Linked DNA regions of Diceros bicornis minor. The protein of the gene in region 3 purifies or fractionates together with the protein of the main gene of each other region. This does not show direct contact. Links are inferred from orthologs where the notes say so. Each region holds a gene or a part of one and is shown on either strand. Other genes may lie near its edges.

The links. Proteins that work in one complex are often made in the same cells at the same time.
Region 1: the proteins of ARHGDIA (region 3) and RHOC purify together in Homo sapiens (affinity purification with mass spectrometry; 4 studies listed by BioGRID and IntAct, with this or other methods). This does not show direct contact. The link is inferred for Diceros bicornis minor from reciprocal best matches to the Homo sapiens genes ARHGDIA and RHOC.
Region 2: the proteins of ARHGDIA (region 3) and EZR purify together in Homo sapiens (co-purification; 3 studies listed by BioGRID and IntAct, with this or other methods). This does not show direct contact. The link is inferred for Diceros bicornis minor from reciprocal best matches to the Homo sapiens genes ARHGDIA and EZR.

What each region holds. Positions count from the first base shown.
Region 1 is NC_080743.1:45,467,337-45,474,642, forward strand, and holds the start of RHOC (rho-related GTP-binding protein RhoC), read right to left. Parts: upstream 3,125-7,306; 5' UTR 3,054-3,124; intron 1-3,053. Other genes in the region: PPM1J (protein phosphatase 1J), read right to left, coding at 5,817-5,964, 6,108-6,259, 6,375-6,482, 6,639-6,702, 6,905-7,023. UniProt on the Homo sapiens protein: Regulates a signal transduction pathway linking plasma membrane receptors to the assembly of focal adhesions and actin stress fibers.
Region 2 is NC_080778.1:10,869,732-10,877,119, reverse strand, and holds the start of EZR (ezrin), read right to left. Parts: upstream 3,125-7,388; 5' UTR 3,028-3,124; intron 1,834-3,027; 5' UTR 1,758-1,833; coding exon 1,746-1,757; intron 1-1,745. UniProt on the Homo sapiens protein: Probably involved in connections of major cytoskeletal structures to the plasma membrane. In epithelial cells, required for the formation of microvilli and membrane ruffles on the apical pole. Along with PLEKHG6, required for normal macropinocytosis.
Region 3 is NC_080757.1:61,197,500-61,205,109, reverse strand, and holds the start of ARHGDIA (rho GDP-dissociation inhibitor 1), read left to right. Parts: upstream 1-4,493; 5' UTR 4,494-4,592; intron 4,593-4,932; exon of another isoform or gene 4,933-5,169; intron 5,170-6,135; 5' UTR 6,136-6,162; coding exon 6,163-6,352; intron 6,353-6,486; coding exon 6,487-6,570; intron 6,571-6,898; coding exon 6,899-6,975; intron 6,976-7,058; coding exon 7,059-7,122; intron 7,123-7,317; coding exon 7,318-7,517; 3' UTR 7,518-7,560; exon of another isoform or gene 7,561-7,610. UniProt on the Homo sapiens protein: Controls Rho proteins homeostasis. Regulates the GDP/GTP exchange reaction of the Rho proteins by inhibiting the dissociation of GDP from them, and the subsequent binding of GTP to them.

The DNA.
Region 1 (7,306 bases), on a different chromosome or scaffold from region 3:
GTTCTGAGAAATGCGTTGTGAGGCAATCTCACCATTGTGGGAACATCAGAGAGTGTACCTTACACAAACTTAGTGGTACAGCCTACTACACACCTAGGCTATGTGGTACTAATCTCATGGGACCACCGTCATATATGTGGTCCACTGTTGACCAAAACATCGTTGTGTGGCGCATAACTGTCCACATCAGGGTTTCAAGTCAGACTTCATTTGTTACCAGGAATTTGATACTTTTAAATTTTAATAATGGCTAAGGTCCAAAATCTAGAACACACTGCCCCTCACTCAGCAGTAGTCATGCCTGCCCAGTCACAAATGAGGAGTCCCTCTCCAAGACCACAAGCTAGCAGAACCAGCTACCAGGTGGTGGGTGGGTAAGGCAAAGAATATATTTCCAGCTCCTAGGGGCCAGGCACTATGTTGGGCATTTTGACAAAAATCATCTCTCTCAGTCCCCAGAAGCCTGGAAGGGAGATGGTGCGCTTCCCATTTTGAGAAACTAGGAAAGTGAGGCTCAGTGAGGTTAGGACACATGTTCAGAGTCGTGGCAGGGACAGCACTCAAAGCAGGGCCGTGTGACTCTAGAGTCTGTTGTCTTTTCTACATATCACCCCAGAGGTGGGACGGAGAGCAGAGGGAGGGAAATCCAGACAGAGGGCAGTGGCAGCAGCCAGCGGCTTCCCCGGCCCACCCCAAACTGGTCCCCAAAGCCCCGAGTCACACAAAGGAGGCTCAGTCCCAGCAGTGCCCACAGCCCACATTTGGGCAGCCTGCCTTCCTCCCCCCTTCCTCCTGGGCCTGGCAGCAACACTGGGTCACTCAGCCCCAGGCAGGGGACAATGACCACACTGTAGGGAGCCACACATCCACCACAGCAGAGTGACTGAGAATAATCCACTAGGGAAACACCTCCACCCACTCCCTTCTTCCCCTCTGTCCAGCTCACCCCAAGGCACTGCCCAACCCTCCCTGTGACTCAGGGCAAGGAGTCAGCTTCCCGGGGTTTCCATGTGTCCCCCACCCCCAACACACAGGAATGGGCATCTGCACAGTTCATCCCACCTTCCCAGCTTCCCTGCCCCTGAGCTGAGCCTCACTTCCTCCTTCCCTGGGGAGAGGAGCTGACCTCCAGCCGGCTGAAGTTCCCAGGCCCACAGCCGGGGAGGAAGAGAGGGCGGGCTCTGGAGCAGAGATGAAGTCGAGGCTGTTGGGAAGGGGGAGGGGGCTAGAGCCTGAGCTGGGAGGAGCCCCCAAAAAGAGACAAATGAGGGCCAGTCCCAGCACCAACCAGGGAGGGAGTAGTTAAGAAAGAAGGGGATGGTAACCTGATCTCTGCCCAAAACCTGGCTTTTTCTCTCAGGCCCACATCCTGTCAAACTGGGCTGAACTCCTTTACTCCCCACACACCACCACCACCTCATCCTTGCCTCGGTCGGCCTGCCTTTTAGGAACTGAATACTCCAGCCCAAGGCAAGTTCTCTTCAACAGTGGAATCCCCGGCGGCCTCCCTCCCCTCACTCACTCACACTCATACACAGAAAACCGGGATGAGGGGTAGTGGATATGAGTCAGAGAGAATTTATAGGAGTTGAGAATACACAGCTACACTCTCCCAACCACAGAAGGGGCTCTCCCTGATCCCCCAAAACACAGGCAAGAAGGCATTCACCATGTCAGCAGATCCCCTCCAAAATGGAAACCATCCTTCCAATAGGGGATCCCTGGAAATTCTAGCCAGGTGACCAACTCCCCCCACCCACTCCCACCAGTTCCACTGGTCCAGCTCTGTGAAAACATGCTGGGATACCGCCAACCTGGGATAGGCAATGTTGGTGGAGAGTGAATAACAGTTCCTCAGGTACGAGTATGTCACTGCCCTCCCCCAGCAGGGCACTTTAGGTGGCACCAGACTGTGGGAGGCAGTGGTCAGAACTCAGGGGCAAGGGCATGCATTAAGTGACTGGGGCCCCCAGCTCAATTAGAAGGCTTTCCCTTCAGGCTCTAGTAGAGCCAGAAGAACAGCTAGCCCAGGCCAGACCAGGCCACTAGGCCCAGGGCCAAGATGGCAAGGACAACAACTCCCTGTGAGAGGCAGCCCCAGAGGAACTACCCCACTGACCCTACAAGGGGCAACCAAACCCCATACAGGGCCTGGAATGGAGCCTGGAACTGCTGGGGCCTTCCCTGAGACAAGACACTTGCCCTGTCTCTTAATCACTCTCTAGATTTCCAGATGACCCAGGGGTCCACTGCACCCTGCCCACCACTCCTGAGGTCTAGGGAAGGAGTCAGATACCTACTCTTCAACATTAAAACCAGAAGTGAGGGGAGGACATAGCCTCGAGTCCTCCAGCCCAAACCTCTAGGATTATCTTTAGCCAGACTGGGGAGTGTGATGGAGAGGGCTGGAAGGGAGGAGATTCACTCTCACACACACACACACAACACACAGGAGCTGGATCCTTCCCAGTCTCCCCAACCTCCCACCACAGGCAGGCTCCTGGAACCGCTTAGGGCGGCGTCCAGACCCCGCCGAGCGGTGGCAGCCCCCGTGGTCACACCCCGCCCCTATTCCCGCCATTCCACCAGTCTGGCCCGGGGGAATTCCCACCGACACCCGAACTCGGGCCCAGACCCACACCGCACCCAGGTCCACCTCGGGCCGCCGGGCATGGGAGCTAGAGAGTCCGGGCTGGGGCTCCATCGCGGAGACTCAAGTTGCCCCCTCGCCCCTCACCCCTCGCCCGGCGGGGCAGGTTCCGGGAAGCCGGGAGGGGAAAGGAACGAACTCCGGCTCGGACACCAGGAGGCGAGAGGCCCTGCGGGGCAGTTCCCGGGGGTCCTCTACTGCAGCCCAGGGAGGGGCCAAGCCTGCCCGACCCCGCACAGCCAAGACGCCGCATCCGAGGGGGTGGGAAGGCGACCCGCGCTCTGGCCAAAGCCCGCTCCCCAGCCGGCGCCCCGAGCTCCCGCCTAGCGGAGAAGGCGAAAGGTACTCGCCCGGGGACGAGTTCCCGGGCCGCCCGCCGCCCCCAGCCCTCAGCCCAGCGTACCTTCCGCTCGACCGCCTCCAGCTGCGCGGCCGGTGCCGGAGGCTGAGATTGACCCGAGGGCCCCGGGGCCCCGCCCCGCCCCGCCCCGCCCTCCTTCAGCGCGGCGGCGGGGAGGGGCGGGCCCGCGGGGAGGGGCGGGCCCGGGAGGAAGGCCAGGCCAGCGACGAACCTTGGCTCCGCCCGCCCACCGCCCCAGCCCAGGGCCACCGCGGGTCGCCCCGCAACTGGCTGCGGGGTCTGCGGTTTCGACCCCTGGGTAGAGAGATGCCTGGACTGTGGAGGATGGGCGGCGGGGCGGGGCGGGGCGGGTGCAACCCCCGAGGACTCTGCCTCTGCCCCGCCTTCCAGCCCCGAGGGGCGGACCGGCGTCTGGAAAGTTGAGAGGCGCTCGGGGTGGGGTCAGGAAAGGGCCGCTGCTGCCCTCCGGTGGCCAACTAGCCACCCGCGCCTACACCACCTGGGACTTCGCGGGAGGCCGGACTGGAAAACGGCGGACTCCGGGACTCCCGAGGAGAGGGCTGCAGATGCCCGCCCTCTGCTCCTAGAATCTTTGCGGAGTAAGCACAGCTCAACGTCATCCCCCAGTCTTGAAGACCTTTCAGAACCTTTGAGATCCATGCCATCGTTCTGCCTCACAGTTCTCTTCCTTCTCCCTGTCTGGAAATTCCAGGAGTCCAATTCCTACCTATCCCTCAAAAGGCCCTCTTGGAAATCCTTCCAGATCCCCAGCTGGAATTCAGTTCCTACCACCATTGTATTATTTCTGTGCCGCTAGGGACACTTAGCCCCGTCTGACTGGTCGCAGTGGGTATTTACCTACAAGTGTATCTCCTTCCCTGTGTGGTGGCTGAGGAGGTGGATGGAGGATGAGGAAGCCTACCAACATTTTATTGTCTCGTGCCGTACACTGTATAGCTCAGCCCTTTTAATACTCAACACAGATCTTTAGGTTTAGTATACCGATCCCTGTTTGCCTGTAAGGAAACTGAGGCTCAGAGAAGTTAAGTGGCTTGCCCAAAGTTTTGCGATTTGTATGTGACAGAGCAAGAATTCAGTCAGGTCGACCTGGCTCCAAAGCCGGTGTTCCCTCCCTGCTGTCCCCCATGCTCCTCCAACCTGTCCCTTCCCCACTGTCTTACACAGTGTATGGCACATACTAGCTTTTCAACAAATATTCCCTGAATGAATGTTAGAAATCATACAGACTTTAAAGATCTGAAGTGCAACCCACACATTTGATAAATGAAGAAACTGAGGTCCAGAGCAGTTTGGTCCCCAGGCCTCTTAACTTGCTCAGTGAACATTTATTGAGTGTGAACTGAGAGCTATGTGCTCAGTTCAGATCAATTTCTGCCTTCAAAGTACTTACCATCTAAATTCAGAAGACAGACAACTTAAAGATAGCTAACAGTTATCGAACCCTTTGTACATGGACCTCGCTCTTCATACATGAACTACTTTAGACGTTACAACAACCATATAAGGTAGTACTGTTATCTCCATTTTAATGAGAAGCAAATTGAGGCTCAGAGAGGTTACAGAGCTAGTGTTGAGTCTGGCACCAGAACTCAGACAGCAGGACTCTAGAGCTCTGCTCTTAGCTGCTGCTCCACACCAACTCCTCACACAGGCAGTTATAATACAGGAGGCAGTTGCTGTAGTGGGGCGTGTGGGCTGTGCAATACCCAGCCCTGGAAGACAGGTGAAGTGTTCAAGATAAGGTGGTGAGTACACTTTAAAATGAGTTGGAGCTACTACAGGCCCACAGGGTTACTGAAACCCCAGGAAGGTGGTGGTGGTGGTGGTAAAAGAGGTGGCTGGAGAAGGAAGCAGTGGCCAGATCATGAAGGTCCTTATATGCCATGCTCAAGATTTGAGTGTCGATTTTGGTCTAGGTGCAGTAACGAGCCACTGTAATGTTCTCTCAGGGGAATAACCAACTCAGACTCGCATTGTGGAAGGGTCACCCTGGCTGCTGTGTCCCTAATATATTAGGGGAAGCAGTGGGGTGGCCTGAAGACAGAGTTAGGAGATGAGTTAGGAGGCTGATGTAGTAAAGAACTACGGTAATGACAGTGGAGGTGGAGATATGTGGACAGATATTAAATGTATTTTAAAATATATAATCAACAATACTTAGTGATTGATTAGCTTGATGAGGAAAAGATGGAAGTCAAAGGTGACCAACTCCAAGATTTCTAAAGAGGCTGAGCTGATGCCCACTGAGATGATGAACCAGGAGAAGGAGCCTGTTTGAGGGGGAAATGATGAATCCAGCTCGAGGTATGTTGAACTGAAGTGCCTGTGGATGTCTAGGAGATGTTTGGGAGACGACTGGAATATGTGGGTCTAAAGCTCGGGAGAGAGCTGGGCTGGAAATACTGACTTGGGAGACACCAGCAGGTAGATGAAGCCACAGAAGTGGATGAGAATCAGAAGAGGATGAGAGTGCGTGGAGTGGGAAGAGCAGAGGGTAGAAGAAAGAACCTGGGAACACTACATTTTTAGGACTATTCTGGTGTTCTTTCCCCTACCCCAAAGAGCTTTTTCTTATCTTTTGTTTCTAGTCAAAATACATAAAGACACACACCTTTATCCATCTGGTTTATTTGCCAATAGCTATAATTTTGTATCTAACTGATACCCCTTCTTCAGTTAATTTGCCACTAAAGAAGGTCAGGGAGACAACTTCAGAATTTGGGTTGGGAGAGGGGTAAGACTGGAGAGGCTAGGATAGTGGTGGGAGGGTCAGGGCTGAGCCCCTCAGGAGTAACTGCCTGGCCCTCCCAGGGGGATGATGAAGACCGAGATGTCATCCCCGGAACCCAGCTTGTTGTTGGGAAGACGCCAGCCACGATCCCGGGGGGTGCCCCGGGCCCCCAGGACCAGAGCTTGTGCCAGAGCTGTGTACCTGCCAGGAGCACATGTGCACATTCATGTACCAACATGTATACAGGAAGATAGATGCACAGGCCCTCATGTGGGTCCCCAAACACTGCTTCCCTTGACCCTTCCTTCCCCACTGTTCTCCCCTCGCTGCCATACAACCCATACCTGCTGGGGTCATTGGGCTCATAGGCTGACAGCACCCTGTCGACAGTGGCAGCTACCTCACAGTCACTGGTGACATCCCACAGCCCATCTGTTCCCAGGACTAGCACGTCATCTGGGCAGTGCTCGTACTGCGTCAGGTCATACACTTGCACCTGGTAGGAAAGAGGATGGAGAGGGAGCCTGGGGATAAAAGGACCCGGAATGAAAGCCAGCCTGAGACCCCCAGAGGAGGGAAGGTGTGGTTCAGGGGGCCCCCATATGGCTCACCTCAGGGAAGCAGGAGAGGAAGGGCTTGATGGGCAGGGTAGAACTGCAGACCTTGAGGTTGTGGTCTCCCAAGCCCCGGGTCACCCCAATAGTGGCCATCACTCGAGCCTAAAGGAAATGAGGAGGGGGTGCTGCTACAGCCCTCTCCCTGACTCTCTGAAACCGTGGACCCCTCCCACCCCTACCCTCAGGTAGAACCTCCACCTCCCTAGACAAGTTGCAGTGGGTCCTCTTGCCCTCTCCCATCTCTACCATGGAGTTTACCTTTTTGCCCTCCCCACAGACCAGAGGAAACCTGAGATCCTCCAGCTCGATCTTTTTGTAGGCCCTGGGGAGGGGGGAGTAGAAGAGGCATCACCCAGGCATCAAAGCCCCTCTCCCCTAGGAGCCACGCCCCTCACACAGACCCCTAAGAAGGGCCCAATGCCCCAGCTCCCAGCCTGGTCCAGCCTCGAGCTTCCACCTTGCTGCTGGTAAGGGATTGGTTGCATTGCGATGGGAACAGGCCCCAGCTCTGAGGGAAGTGTTACCAGCCGGTCATGTTCTGGTCCCTGTACAGCATCTTCTGCCCCAGCTCCTTGGGCTGAACTCTGCGGGGGAACTCAAGGTGGGTGAATTCACCACCCAGGAGCTCTGGTTTCAGGAAGCCCTGGGATTGGGAGTGGCCAGAGAGAGCAGAAGGACCAGGGGCATTAGGCTGACAGCACACCCTGCTGTAGAGGTGATGTTAATTATAGCAGACCCTTAAATGGAGTGTGCTCTGTGCCATGCACTGTTCTAATATTAACATTTATTAATTTATTTAATCCTCATAACAACCCTAAGGCAGGAACTGTTGATGCAAGTTAAGGGAATTGTCAAAGGTGACACAGTCAGCAAAGTACTCGAACCCGGATTCAGTCCCCAGCAGTCCAGCTCCAGAGCCAGTGCTT
Region 2 (7,388 bases), on a different chromosome or scaffold from region 3:
AGTAGTCAAATTCATAGAGACAGAAAGTAGAAGGGTGGTGGCCAGGGGTTAGGGGGAAGGAGAAATGAGGAGTTAGTGTTTAATGTGGACAGAGTTTCAGTTTGGGTAAGTTCTGGAGATGGATGGTGGTGACACTTGCACAACAATGTGAATGTACTTAGTGCCACTGAACTGTACAGTTAAAAATAGTTAAGATGGCAAATTGAATGTTACGTATATTTTACTACAATAAAAAAAGGAAACCAGAAAAAGAAAAGAAATTACAGTTCATCATGAGAAATGAGAGAGAAAAGTACTGACTGGAAACTGGTTTATTAACTCTTTTCTTCTAAGTGATACGCTAAAATCTGAACTCTGCATCTTTTCGTGAAATAAAGAAAACCACACCAGGAAATGGTAATCTCTTGACCACTGCTCTGCATAACTGCTCAGGGCTGTGCCCCAAGTAAGCGGCTGTATTTAGGTCAGTTTTATATCATAGGGATTGTAAAGCCCGGATGTCACGGACCGATTGCAAGTTCGAAACTAAAAGAATTTTGTGTAGGAAAAAAAATTTTCTGCATCACGAATGAATCATCTTGATGAAATAATTTAGGCAAAAACTATACTAGCTTCTCAATCTTTTAGTATATTAACATAGTAATTTACTTACTTAAACAACAAAATAAGACTTTATTAATAAAGAACTCATTTTAGAGAATCTAACATTTAACGGTAGAAAAGCACATACAGCATCCACTACAGAACCAATCTGTTTCAAAAACTATTCCATATGTATCTTTTATTGCAATTTTTAATGAACCCAGACATTTTCTCCACCGTGATTCAAAACTCGATTAAAATTTAAACCCTCCTCCCCAGTATCTGGTCACCAGTTTACCTGCGTTAAAGCAGGCAGAATATATACTACTTCCTAAGAAACGCCCGTCACAAAGAACCTGCCTCGGTCCCATAACTTAAGCGAAAGCCTAACACCCCAGGCCTGGCTAGCCAACTCGCAGAGAACGCAACAAAATCAGATTCCGGGGCACAGAGGTGCGGGCACGGCAGCCCTGACATCAGCTGATGTTTATGACATTTACCAGGAGTGCAAGACCAGAGAGGGCCCAGGGAGCCTCCTTATCAAACTCCGGGGCTGCCTGCCCTCATCTGCAATTCAAGTCCATTACTAAACTCTTTCAGATAGGAATCCTGCTGCCACCAGCAAATTCCGGGCGAACAGAGCACAGCTCCACAGGCTGCGCCGGCGTGCAATGCACTGGAACGGGGCTGCCCGCCAGAAAGACAGCGTCTCCTCTGCCAGATGCCCTTGGGGGCGCCAAAAGAAGATTTGGGGTGCATCTGGCTCCGGACTCGGAGGGACTCGGAGTTGGTGTGCGCCGTCGGACGTCACTCAACTCTCCTGCGATTTAGACAACTTTTCTTTCTAAGCAACTTCCAAGTTGCATTAGAATACACTTTGAAACAGACTGAAGCGGTGTAAAAGGGGATTCTAACTTGTATAAAAGACCGTAACTCCTGGGGGGCGGAGCTCGCAAACAAAAAGACTGTAGAGAAAAGCATCAAAATCGTGTTTTCTTCAGGAGGTCCCTAAAAGGACCAACACACAACAAAGAGGAGAGACAATTCCCTACTCCTGCCCTCTTATCCGTTTAAAAAACCCTGCCCCAACACCTCGCCCAGGTGCCTCCAATTGAAAATACAGCTCGAAGCCTCCGCCCCAGCCCAGAAACTGGGTTACTTACTGGTTTCGGCATTTTCGGTTCCTGATGGGTTTTCCTCAATCCCCTGGAAACACTACTCTCGAGCAGCAGCTGAGACGGTTCTCCCGACCTGGAGGCAGAGGGAAGCCCTTTAGAGCGCGCAGCAGCCCTCCTCCCGCGCCCGCCGCCGCGCCCCGAGACTCGCCGCCCGCCCCGCGCCGCTGCTTAAGAACCCGCCGGGCGGGCGCCGGGATGAGTCACCGCCCAACCTGCAATTACCGCAGGCCGGGCGGGCGGGCCCTGCGGGGAGGGGGCGGGGGCGGGGGCCCGGGGGGGGAGGGGGGGAGGGGGAGGGGGCGGCGGGGAGAGACCCGGTGAGGAGGGGGCTGGACCTGGCCAGCACGGGGCTCGGGGTCCCGGGGGGAGGGACCCAGCCGGAGGGGGCGCGGGGTCCCGGGGTCCCGGGGGGAGGGGGCCGGCCGGAGGGGGCCCGGGAACCCGGGGGGATGGACCCAGCCGGAGGGGACCTGGGGGGAGGGAGCCGGTGGGGAGGGTTGCGCGCGCGCGCGCGCATAGGGATGTAGGGCCCGGGCGGGGGGCCTCGGCGCCAGGAAGGGGGCTTGGCGGGGAGGGTGCCGGGGCGGGCGGCGCGGATCCCGGCGGGGAGGGGTCGGGGGACCCGGGCGCCGGGGCGGGGGCCGGCTCCCGGACTGGGAAGCGGCGGGGCGGGGGTCCCCAGAGGTACTTCTCGGGGCTTCCCGGAAGCCAGCGGGGAGCCCAGCAAACAGCAAGTTTCACTTTGTGAAGCAACCGTTTGCCCCAGGGCTGAAACCGCAACCGTCAAGCCTTTGAGAAACACTTGAAGAAAACCGGCCCCGCCCGGGAAGGGCCGAGGACCGCGGGGCCAAGCGAAGCACGAGGGCGCGGGCAGGGGCGCGGCCACGCAGCCCAGGCTCCGCTGGCACTTTGGAAGGGGGACTCCAGGGCACAGAGTGGAAAGAGGAAGGTCGCGGAGCAGCGGGGGCGGCCACACCAGCAGGTTCAGCTTCACCTGCTGTTTCTTTGGGCCGAACGGGAGAGCCATGCCCGGAGGGCCAGGCGAGGACCCCACCGGCCCGAGACCCCGAACGCGGCCGGCGGAGGGGCGAGCCCGATTCCCCTCGGGGACCGCCGGCCCGGGGCTTGCGCGCGGGCCGCCCCTCCGCCAGACCGGCCCCGCCACACCTGTCGTCGAGTCCCGGCCACTGTCCCCTCTGCGGGGCGCGCCCCCCCAACCCCGGCCCGACCCCTCCGCCCGCCAACCCCGGCCACGCGCCGGGCTCACCGGCGGCGCCTGCAGAGGACGGCTGCTCTCCCGCTGTCGGCGTGTCCGCGCAGTGCGCCCGCGGCCCGCGCTCCCAAGAGTCCCCGGCGGGGCGGGGTCCCGGGGCCGCGCCCCTAACCGCCCCGCCCGACCTGCGAGGTGCGCCCGGCGCGCAAAATGGCTGCGGCCGCTGGCCGCCCAGGGGCTCTCCCGCCTCCCACCCGCCCCGCCGGGCGCCCCCCGCCCCGCCCAGGAGGGCGCCCCTGAGGGCCTTGGAGACCCGGGCGGGGGCGTCCTCCGCCTCCCTCCCGCCCCGCCGTCTCTCTCCATCGTGAAGACCCTTCCCTCTTCTCTGCCTGTTCCCTTGCCCTTGGAGAAAAACTTTGCCGAATTTGGTTCAACTCCTGATTGCAGATGTAAGACGTCAGATTATTTGCCCCACAGTGGACAGAGAGAAAGCAAGAAAATGTAAATAAACCTGGAGGAGCAGGCGGCCAGAGGGGAGATGCTGGGCCATTTTGGGGTGGGGCTGCTCCCCGTGGTCAGGTCATTTGCTTGTCCTTGCGCCGCGACCGGGGCGGGTTCTGAGAACCCCGGGCCTGGGGCGGCCGTACCTGGCCTCTGCGTCTCGGCGCACGTGGCCGGCCGGCCTCCGCGTTCGGATTGGGTCGAGAAGGACACAAGCCTAGAAGACGCTCCATCGCCGAACGCTCTGGTTAAAGGACACAGCTGTGGCCTCCTTTGACTTGACTAGCACAAAGCTATAGCAGAAATCGCCATAGGGAGAAATTCTAGGAATTGTTTTTAATATTTTTTGCAAATGGATCTCAAGAGGAATTTTAAAAAACACACAAAACACATGGACTTTGGTGGCCAGGCGCATTTGTGGCGCAGTGATTCGGTGAGCCAGCTCCAGAGCGGTGGTTCTCTAAGCGTGCTTCGCACACTAGCATCGTGAGCATCACCTGAGAACTGGCGGAAATGGAAATTCAAGGGGACCGCCCCAAACCTAGGGCTCAGAATCTGTAGGGCTGGGGCCCAGCAGTCTATCTTCAAGCCCTCCAGGGGATTGTGATGTAGGCTAAGGGTTGAGACCAGAGCTTCTCCGGAATTCCTTTCCTGGGCTGGCCACTAACTCCCCATGTGAGTTGAGCGCGTTATTAACTCCTTTGTGCTTTCGTTTTCACATCTGTAAAATGGCATAATTATGGCACCTATTTCCTAGGGTTGTTATGAGGATTAGAGGAATTAATGCATGTGAGATGCCTAGAGCAGAGCCTGGCACACAGTAAGCACTTGAATCTCTCCTGGTACAGACAGTAACCAGTGACTTTGGGCAAAGACCCAAACTCTCCAAGACTCACCTTCCCAATTCGTAGACTGGAGATACTAGTAGCCCCCCGACATGGACTTGTATGGATTAAGTGAGATAATGTGTGCAAAGTGCTTAGCAGAATGTGGGCCTCCCACTAATGCCTAACCTGTCACGGGGGCAGACTGCTTCTGGGGTACCCCTTGTCAGCTTGTACCTGTCACCCTCTCCCAGCTGCAGGACCAGGGCATTTTAGAGGTCCAGGTGAAGAGGGAGGCCTTTTCTGAGATTTTGTCCTGTATTCCAACAGCAAGTCTGTTCCCTCTGAAAGACTTTCTTTTCTATTAAAATGAAGATGTAAAGTTAACTGCAGGAGGAAGGAAACTATGAAAGATATTTAAATAACCTGCAGTGATAATGGTTCAGACTGGACATGTTACCCCAGCCTGCTCTATCTCCGCCTCTTATCACTGCCTGGAGACTTGTTAGTCATTTCTGGTCCCCAACTCTGCTGATAGGATGTGCCTCTAACATAATTGTTTATCTCACCCACTTTACGGTATATTGTCTTCTAAATTGGGTGTTTTGAAATAGCAGTGGCCCAAGACCTGGAGCATTTGTGAACTTTACCCTTCAGGGGAATGGTGAAAAGGAATTGGCCTGCGGCAGTGTGGTAAAATGAAAAGACCACAAGTTTCAGAAACGAACAGAGCTGAGTCTGAATTCTGGTTCCAGCATCTACAAGCCCCTCACTTTGGGCCAGTCTCTTCATCTGAGCTCCTGCCTCTTCAGCCGTAGACTGGAGATAATAATGTATGGAGTTCTTGTGTCACTGAGTCATATAATGGGAGCGTTTAACTTACTCAAATTTGATTTATAGGTATACTTTTGTTGTTTAAGTTAAAATAGCATAAAGTCATAAGCCTTCCCCATTTGCTTTACATTACTGTAAGCCTTATGCATTATATTTACATGTTACTGTACAGGGTTCCCCAACCCAAAAATAAAACCTTTGTACTGTATCTTAGGAGTGTTTTCAGGGCATTTTCCAAGGGTAATTTATTTTCACCTGACTTGAGAACCTAAACTTCTCCCCAGCCCTCCCCACCCCCAGCACACACACAGAAGACTGAACTCCAAGGAACCTATGAGAATTGCTTAGGACAGTGGTACTGAAGCCTTGGTGTGCATTAGACTCACTCATGGAGCCCGCTCTAGGAATCATGGGTCCTTAAGTCTCAGGTTAACCCTGGGATCTGCGTCTTTAACAAATCCCCAGGTGAGTCTGACTTACACCAAAATCTGAGAACCACTGACTTAGGGTGTGGCAGGATCCTGACAAATATGACTTAATTTGCCTCTCCCTTCACTTCTTATGTGTGAAGTTATTCCCCTGCAGGGTTTCAGTTTTTCAGCTAGAGGAGGGAAATTGTATGTCTGCCATGAGCCTGGCAAAGGCTGTTGGGAAATTGCTTGAAGTTTTTCAGGCAAGGGTACACTAAAGTGAGGCAGCCCTCACAGTCCCTTTAGATACGGCGGCAAGGACCAGAGCTGTCGCACAGAACATCCGCTTCCTATCAGATCAGCTGGAGCCTGTCTCCACGCTGGTGCCAGGTTAATCTCAACCAATAAATAAAAGTTCACAAAGAGTATGACAAGCTCTAGCCTCAGTCACTTCAAAAGTACAGTCAGTAGGCAATAGGGAAAAATATAGAACACTCTCGGCAAAACAAGAATTTGGGTTATTTTTCAGGACTCACTAACTTTGGGTGGAAATTCAGGACAGTGACTATCTGGAGGACGGGGAGAATGATGCCTCCATGGGGGCCTCGTCAGCGGTAGTAATGTTTTATTAAGCTGAGTGGTGGCCCACGGTGCCCTTTATAGCATCCTTTGTACGTTTTTGTGGGTCTGAAATATTTTATAATACGTATTTTAGAGGTAACACTGGGTAAGCTTTTCACTGGCAGAGATGATTGTTAAAGAGAACTAAGCATTTAGTGTAATCTTATAAAGTTCCATGAACTCAATCTGGAAATCTCTGGTATGATTTAACATTCCTTTCTGACCTCTGGGGGGGTGACCAGTCCCTGCAGTGTGGGTGACAGAGCACGGGAATGAATAAGGACTCGCACAGCCTGACCGGCAGCCACTCTGTCTTGTGTCCAGAATTAACTTTTAAGGGTCTTCACAGGACGATAAGGTAGAAAAGCATTCTGATACTATTTTGATGGTACATCTTATATACCTTTGGTCCTCTGAGAAGAATTCCGGCCACTAGGTGTTCTATTTTCATTGTTTCCTTGGCTTATCTAATAATTTGTATAAATAGCCGTAATAGTTTTTGTGTAAAAGAGTACTAATGACCGCAGAACTTGTTTGATTAATAAACTCCCAAATAGCATAGCTTCTTTTATTAGAATTTTTCTTATCCCTAATCGTTTTAGGAGTTTTTTTGAAAATTTTTTTGCCGGCTTAAAAGCATGTGGTATGATGAAGTAGAGGATGGGGCCTTAAACATCATCTTTTCCCATACCCTCCTTTTGCAGAGGAAACAGCTCCACAGAGATTAAATTAGTTGTCGGCACCCCTGCACCCAGACTTCTCTTGTCAAGATAGTGGAGACTTCCATCTTGCTAAATCCGGAAGCTGACCTTCTCTGCCTCATCTTACCCTTCTCCTAAGCAGCCTTGGACACATGTAACACTCCCTGGGAACATTCTGTTCTTAGAGTTTCTGTTTTCTCCCCTCTCCCCCAATCCTGCTTCCTCCTCCGAGGCTAGCTCTCCTCCCCCAACCCTCACTGCAGGCTTAGCTCAGAGCTCATTCCTGGGTGCTTATCTGTGTACACTCTCTTCCTAGGTCATCTCATCCAATCCCAAGTCTTAAATAACATCTCCAGCCGTGACCTCTCTTGAGCAACAAGTGCATACATGTTGTCTCCAGGATTCTTGATGTTTCGAAAACTGCTCCCCTCCCAGCCTTCCCCTTCTCAGAAAACAGAACCACCATTCACCCTGTTGCTTGGCCCCAAACCTAGAAGTCAACCTGAATTCCCCTCTTTCCCTTG
Region 3 (7,610 bases):
TAAAATTGGCCAAAATGAGAAGACCAGAGAATAGGTTCTGTCAGATCTGCCTTAACAAAAGAAGGAAGCAGGGGGCCTTTATAGGGCTAAGGGGCTTGGGAGAAGGAGTTTCAGGGAAACAAAGGGGAAATCTGTGTTTCTTTCACTTCAGATAAGACCTTGCGCAACTAGACTTCTTGGCATCAGTGGCAGCTGGGGGCTAGTTATCTGCTGGTCGTAACTTCCTTACAGGCATTCTTTTTCCTCGGTAAGACAAGCTCATAAATCCTTGTGACCACTGAGTCACCCCTCTGGTTAAATAAGAAAACAGCAAATTAGGGGCCGACCCCGTGGCATAGCGGTTAAGTGTGTGCACTCTGCTGCTGGCGGCCCGGGTTTGGATCCCGGGCGCACACCGACACACGGCTTGTCAGGCCATGCTGTGGTGGCATCCCATATAAAGTGGAGGACCATGGGCACAGATGTTAGCTCAGGGCCAGTCTTCCTCAGCAAAAAGAGGAGGATTGGCAACAGATGTTAGCTCATGGCTGATCTGCCTCACACACACACACTAAATAAATAAACAAATAAATATTTTTTAAAAAAAGAAAGAAAGAAAACAGCAAATTAACAAGATACAATGATGCCTGGGCTGTGAAGCAAGCATTTGAGCTCAACAAATACATCTAACAGAGATTGAGGTTATTTATTCACTTCTTTTCTTCTGTGTCTGTGTTGGGAACAAGGTCAGAGGGTAACCATGTTCTTATGGAGTATTTACAGTAGCCCTCAGGTACCCCGTCTCAGTGTCAAAGCTGGGGTGCTGGGGTGCGGCATTGCCAATCGAGTTCCTGCCGTGGGAGACTCTACAGGACAAGTGACCCCGGTCCTTCAACAGGACACTACATGGAGCAAAGAGAGGACAATCCTATTGATTAAGACACATACCAACTAACTGCAATGTGTGAAACAATTTGATTCTGATTCAAACAAAAAGTAAAAGAACTCACAATAAAATCAGGAAAATACTGGTTGGATCTTTACTGATATTTAGGACTTGTGTTACTTTTCTTGGTTAGTATCCCAGGTACTTTCTGCTCTATAAGAATTACCTCCCAAACTTGGTGTAAAACAAGCACCATTTTGTTACGTTCACGGATTCTGTAGGTCAGGGGGTGAGACAGGATGGTCTGTCGGGCACTGTTGGGCAGGTCTTCTGGGTCTTTAGCCTCAATTTTCAGGTTAAGAGAAGCCAGACCCCCAACCTCGCCCTCACCTGGGTCCTGAGCTGAAGCCACAACGGGATGAGACTTTGGGGGATCCTGGGAAGTGTTGTGTTTTACAGGAGAGGAACGTGGGTCCTTGTGGCTAGAATAAAGATGGCCACACAGTCTTTCCTTCTCTTCCCACTGAAAGGTGGAGTCTAACTCTCTGACTTTGAACTTGGGCTGGCCCAACTCATGGGCTTGGCCAGCAGAGAGCCACACAAGTTTGGTTCTGGCACTTCTGAGTGGGCTCACATGAAGCCCGGTGAACAAGCCTCTCAGAACTTGCTCTTGGAGTCCAGCTGCCAAGATCCCATGGGCGTTGTGCTGGAGGTCCTCAAGTTGACAGCCCCAGGGGAGTGCTGTATGACAGGGCCCTCTTGGCCGGCCACCTTCATTTGGCTGCAGCACGACTCAATCTGACCGACACTGCATGAGAGCCCCAGCTGAGTTCACGCAGCCCCCAGAATAGGAGAGAGAATCGTGACTCGCTGCTCCAAGCCACCGCATTTGGAGTGGTTTGTTATATAGCAGTAGAGACAAGGACCCAGCGGGATAATGGTGCTATGGCTATTGTTCACCCTAAAAAAGGATCCTTTTCCTTAGAAATAAATACATACTGAAATATTTATGGTGGAAATGACTTCTGGGGGTTGCTTCAAACTTGCTGCGTGGGGGGAGGTGAGGCACAGATGAAACAAGATCAGTCACGAGCTGATACCCGTTGAGGCTGGATGGTCTGTCCACTTGGGTTCATAATACCATTCTTTCTACAGTATTTTGGTGCATGTGGTGGGCCGCCTTCAAGACAACCCCAACGGTGCCGCTGCCTCCTGGTCCTCAGGCCCCTGTGTCCCCTCTCACCCGGTGCCAGGAGAGGTTTGTGTGACCAATCTAGTAGGGCGGAGCTAGGGCACTGCTAAGGTTAGATTGTAAGACACCTTGGCTTCATCTTCAGTGCTTGCTGTTTCCCTGGCTCTTGTTCTTTCTGTCTCTGTCTGTCTGTCTGTTTGTCTGTCTCTGAGGCCTCACATGGGGAAAGCCAGCTGCCCTGTTGTGAGCAGCCCTACGGAGTGGCCAGAGCCGTAGGTGGCAGAGAACTAAATCCTCCAGCCAACAGCCCACAAGGAACTGAGCCTCCTGCCCACAGTGCCTGCATTAGCTTGGAGTTCCAGCACATCTTCAGGGACCACAACCTCATGAGAGACCTGGAGCCAGAACCAACCCGCTAAGCTGCTCCCTGATCCTCAGAAACCATGCAAAATAATAAACGGTTGTTGTTTTAAGCTGCTGAATTTCAGGGTACATTTTTACACAGTAATAGATTACTAATAACATGTATGTTTGAAATTTTCTATAATAGAGTTTGGTTTTTTTAAAAGCACTTGGGTTATCCGAAAGCCAACTTTTCCTCAACCAGCGACTCAGACAGCAGTGCAGGGGGACAGTCCGCTGTGGTATTCCAAGTTTACAATGACAAGAAGCCTCAGAAGCAACATAGTGAATACCCAATTAGAATGCTCTGCTTTCCGCCAACTAAACTTTGTACACATAAAGCTGACAGTGCAACTCCTAGTTACAGAAAATAAGCAAATATTCCTCAAAAATTGAGAAATTTCCAGAAGATACCAAAGTCAGTATTTTGCATTAAGTTCAATTTCTGAAAATGCCCTCCTACGTACAATGCAGTTGTGTGTATATGTGTGTTTGTGACAACTTCTGTCTTGGCCTGGGTTCCCTGCCTTTGTGGAGCTTAACAGTCATTATAGGTGGCATGAACTCATTACCACCTTATTACAATTCTACAAATGCTACAGGCTGGAGGTGTGGAGCCGTTAGGGGCTTGGACCCCACAAGAAGAAAGAGGAGTGCTGGGCTGGGGTTTGGGCACTCCGGCCTTCAGGCAGACCAGCCCCGGGCCAGACCAGCCCCATTTTATGAGGCCCCTCCTGGTGCTACAAAATGTTCCTTGATTTAGCATGTGGGCAAATGTCTGAAGTCTGCCAACAATTGGAGCACACAAACGGAGAATTCTTGGGTCTGTGATGAATAGCAGACTGAGAAAATCATGTCATCTGTGCCAAGAGCTTCCAAAGTCACAAGAGTCAAGGAATTCCGCAGTGACATGTTTTTTCCCTGAAGTGATGCTCATGGCAAGGAAACCAAATGTGCTGAGCCCCCAAGAATGTTGATTTAGTCTGGAAAAAAAAAGCCTGAGGGCTGCAGGCCTGGGGCAGCTCTGAGCCTGTGTATGCTTCTGGCCATCCAGCCGTGTTCTTCAGGAGGGGACAGTGGGGCAGAGGGCCACCAGCATAGCCTTGGACAGGTTACAAAGATACCAAGAGAGGCCCCAGAGCCCAGGCTCAGGCCAGGGGTGACCTGGACACCGGTAAAAAATAAAAAAACTACAGGCCCAAGGTGGAGTCACTTGCCCCCAGGACCGGAAACCAAGACTTAATTGCAGTTTCACCCCCTCCCAGGAATGTAACCTTACCAGTCGGGAAATTCCTGATCAACAATAGTGAGGTCATCTGCCTGCTAAGACCCCTGCCGCCCTTCCCCCAAAGAAAGGTGATCTTGCCTGAAAGCATCTTTTCTTTCCTTTTGCTAATTACTTTCTTGTCCCACCTAGTTTCTTCCTATAAAAATCTTCTTTTGTACAACCCTTCGGAAGGCCTGTTTATTAAATGGGATGCTGCCTGATCCATAAATCCTTGAATAAAGCCAATTAGATCTTCAAATTTTCTCGGTTGGAATTGTTTTTTAACACCACCCACGGAGCGTTCTTTGAGTGGTTAACGTGAGCTGATCGAAGAAGGTCCAGCGTTAACTTCCGAGAGGGTCACGATGGCGAGAGGACGCGAGAGGCCGGCTCAGGTGGGAGGGCGGCCGTCGGCTGGCCTCGGGTGGACCCTGCCGTGCACGCGGAGATGTTCCAGAGCTTTACAGACGTGCCTTACAGCACCTCGCGGAAATGCCACGACGTACGTGGGGCGTGAGCAAGACCGTGACACCGCCCGTCCCTCTACTTTGCGGGCTGACCCGTGGGGACGGCCGGGACCGGAAAATGCTTGCAGCAAAAGGCGCAAAACTACCAACTGGGACCGGACTTCCTAGGCGTCCCGAGCCCGCCCGCCGCCCACACGGGACGCACCCACCACACCAGCCCGGCAAGATGGCACCGGCACGCTCCCGGCAGACCCGCGCGCCCGCGCATGCGCCCTGGCGTGTGGCGCGAGCGGAAGTCGCGTGACCCCGGAAGTGGCCGGCCGGGAGCGCGCGGGCGGGGCGGCGACGTTCGTCGTTCCGTGCGGGAGGGAGCGCGAGAGCTGCGCAGTCGAACCTCCGGTGAGCGCCACGGCGGGACGGCGGCGGCAGGCGGGGCGGCGGCAGCGGCAGCGGCAGGGAGGCGCGGGGGCCGCGCCTTTGTTCGCTCCGCCTGCCGTGGGGTCTGCGCGGGGCTGGGGCGGCGGTGACAGCCGGCGGAGGCCGGGCCGCAGGGCGGGCCCACGTGCGGCGCGGGCCAGGGGCGCGGACCGGGGGCTTAGGCCTCCTTTGTGGCCGCCGCCCGTACCCCGCGGCCCCTCCCCGCCGGCGTGCGCCGACCGGAGCTAGGCTGACGTCCCCTTCTCCGGGGCACCGCGCCCCACCCCGCGCCGCGCCCGGCCCAGATTGCGGGGCCCTGCGGAAGTGCGGCCGCGGCGATCGCCCTAGAGGATCCTGTCGCCTGCGGCCGCACTTAGTGACATTAGGGCGTGAGCCTTGTAGAGGAATTCCAGAGGAAGCGGCAGGGAGGCCTGGGAAAGCGGGCAGGCCCCACCCCGCCTGGGGCGGCCGGCGGCTCGGGGATCCCTGCGGCCCTTTGTGAGATCTGGTCCTCGGGCGAGTCCCAGCTGCCAGCCTGGGCCTGTGGGGAAAGGCTTTGGTAATCTTTCCTGGGCAATCTGAGGCCTGGGGTGGGCTGGGCCTTGACCCATCTCCTACACCACCCGGACCTATCTGAGTGGGTTCCAGACACTCCTCAGGAAGTCTCTGGGCTTGCAATGGGATTTTTAGCTGAAGGAAGCCCAGCGGCTGCCTCATGCAGTGCTCCCCGCTCTGAGAGTGCTGCTCCAGACTCGCCTGGGCCAGGATCCAGAAAAAGGGTCTTGAAAATACTGGAGCTGCTGCAGCAGTTCCCAAATTGTAGGTCACAGACTCTCACGATTGGAGAGAACGTTGGCAGACTCTTAGGATCCCCTGTGCCCTTTTGGGACCTACATGTGGGAGTCAGGCTGGCCTCATCATCTGAGCTGTAGGAGAGCCCTGTGTTTGCAGGATGAGGCAGAACTGACCTGTGTCCTGCACAGAGGCCTTGCTTCCTGGCTAGGACAGGGCAGAAGGAGCATGCCTGGTCCTAGGGAGCCGGGTCTCCCTGACCCAGTGGGAGGAGTCCCGTGGGGCGAGGGCCTGAGCAGCTCAGAAAGAGCAGCAGGACTTCAGAGGTGACAGTTGGGGGTCTGCCGGCAGGGCTGGGGTCCTGCCTCCTCCTTGGGGGCGGCAGAGGTGTGCCTGGTCTCCCAGAGGAGCAGGCTGCGGGTTCCATTTAGTCCTGGGTACTGTACCTAGGCTGGGGTCCTCTCAGACTGCCCCAGTGGGTCCCCTGAGATGGGCAGGGCGAGGAGGCAAGTATAGCCCCGCTGGGTTCAGGAGCCTATGTCTGGGTTCTGGCTGCAGGCTGCCCTCCTGCTCTAGAAGGTGCACCTCTCTTTGGGCCGAGATACGGGGCCTGGCCACCTGTGGAGCAGCCTTCGACACAGCCCGCCTGAGCTGGCTGCAGGGCCCGCTGAGGGGCGGGAGGGGGGAGACATTGTGGGTCCCTCCAGGCTGCCACAGCCCGCCTGGCCCACAGGTGTCCCAGACCCAGCGAGAGGTGAGCATGGCCGAGCAGGAGCCCACAGCAGAGCAGCTGGCACAGATTGCAGCTGAGAACGAGGAAGACGAGCACTCGGTCAACTACAAGCCCCCGGCCCAGAAGAGCATCCAGGAGATTCAGGAGCTGGACAAGGACGATGAGAGTCTGCGCAAGTACAAGGAGGCCCTGCTGGGCCGTGTGGCTGTGTCTGCTGGTGAGTGGGTTGGGGTCACACAGAGGGATACCTTGTCACTCTTCTGGGTTTCTGCTGCTGCTGCCCCCTGGTGGCAAGTTATGGGTGTGTGGGAGGCCCAGGGGGTGGAGCACTAACCTGCTGTCACTCCACAGACCCCAACGTCCCCAATGTAGTCGTGACCCGCCTGACCCTGGTGTGTAGCACCGCCCCGGGCCCCCTGGAGCTTGACCTGACAGGTGAGTGGCACCTTTGAGGTCTCTGGCTGGGGCTGCCTGGCACCCCCACCCCTGCTTTCTCTAAATATAGTTTCCTGGAGCTCTGCCACCCTCTCGTGGGGAGAACAAGAAGTGCAGCCAAGCGGTCTTTGAAGTTGCTGGTTTTGGAGTGATCTGGGTCCTAGGTTGGGGGTGCCAAGGGCTATGTGTGCAGGGGCAGGGGAGACGGGGAGTAGAAGGGGCATCCCGCCAGGGCCCAGATGGCAGCGGGCAGTCACAGATGGGAGATGCCGAAGTGAGTGGCTTCTGCTGGCTGAGCCCCCTAGTGTGGTGTTCCTCCCAAATACAGGTGATCTGGAGAGCTTCAAGAAGCAGTCATTTGTGCTGAAGGAAGGTGTGGAATACCGGATAAAAATCTCTTTCCGGGTAAGGCAGAGGCTGTGGCAGGGGCCGGGAGGGGCCAGGGCTGGAGAGCCCGGCTGAGCCTTGCCTGGGGTCCCTCCCTGCAGGTGAACCGAGAAATTGTGTCCGGCATGAAGTACATCCAGCACACATACAGGAAAGGCGTCAAGAGTGAGTGAGGGTGGGCACCAGACCCCAGCCTCTAAGAGAGAGATGGCTGCCTCTTGGCTGGCTCAGGGCAAAGGGCTTAGGGACCAGGAGGGAGACAGGAAAGGCAGTGTGTGCCCTCGGCCCAGCTCTGCTCCCTGGCAGCTGCCCGGGCAGAGGTGAGCCACACTGATGACCAGTGCATTCTCTGCATTACAGTTGACAAGACTGACTACATGGTGGGGAGCTACGGGCCCCGGGCAGAGGAGTACGAGTTCCTGACTCCCATGGAGGAGGCGCCCAAGGGCATGCTGGCTCGAGGCAGCTACAACATCAAGTCGCGTTTCACAGATGATGACAAGACTGATCACCTGTCCTGGGAGTGGAACCTCACCATTAAAAAAGAGTGGAAGGACTGAGTCCTGGGTCCGGGAGGCAGGCAGGATGGACAGACGGACGGACGTACGCACCCCACCCCTACCACCCCACACCCCCTTCCTGACCCCATACCA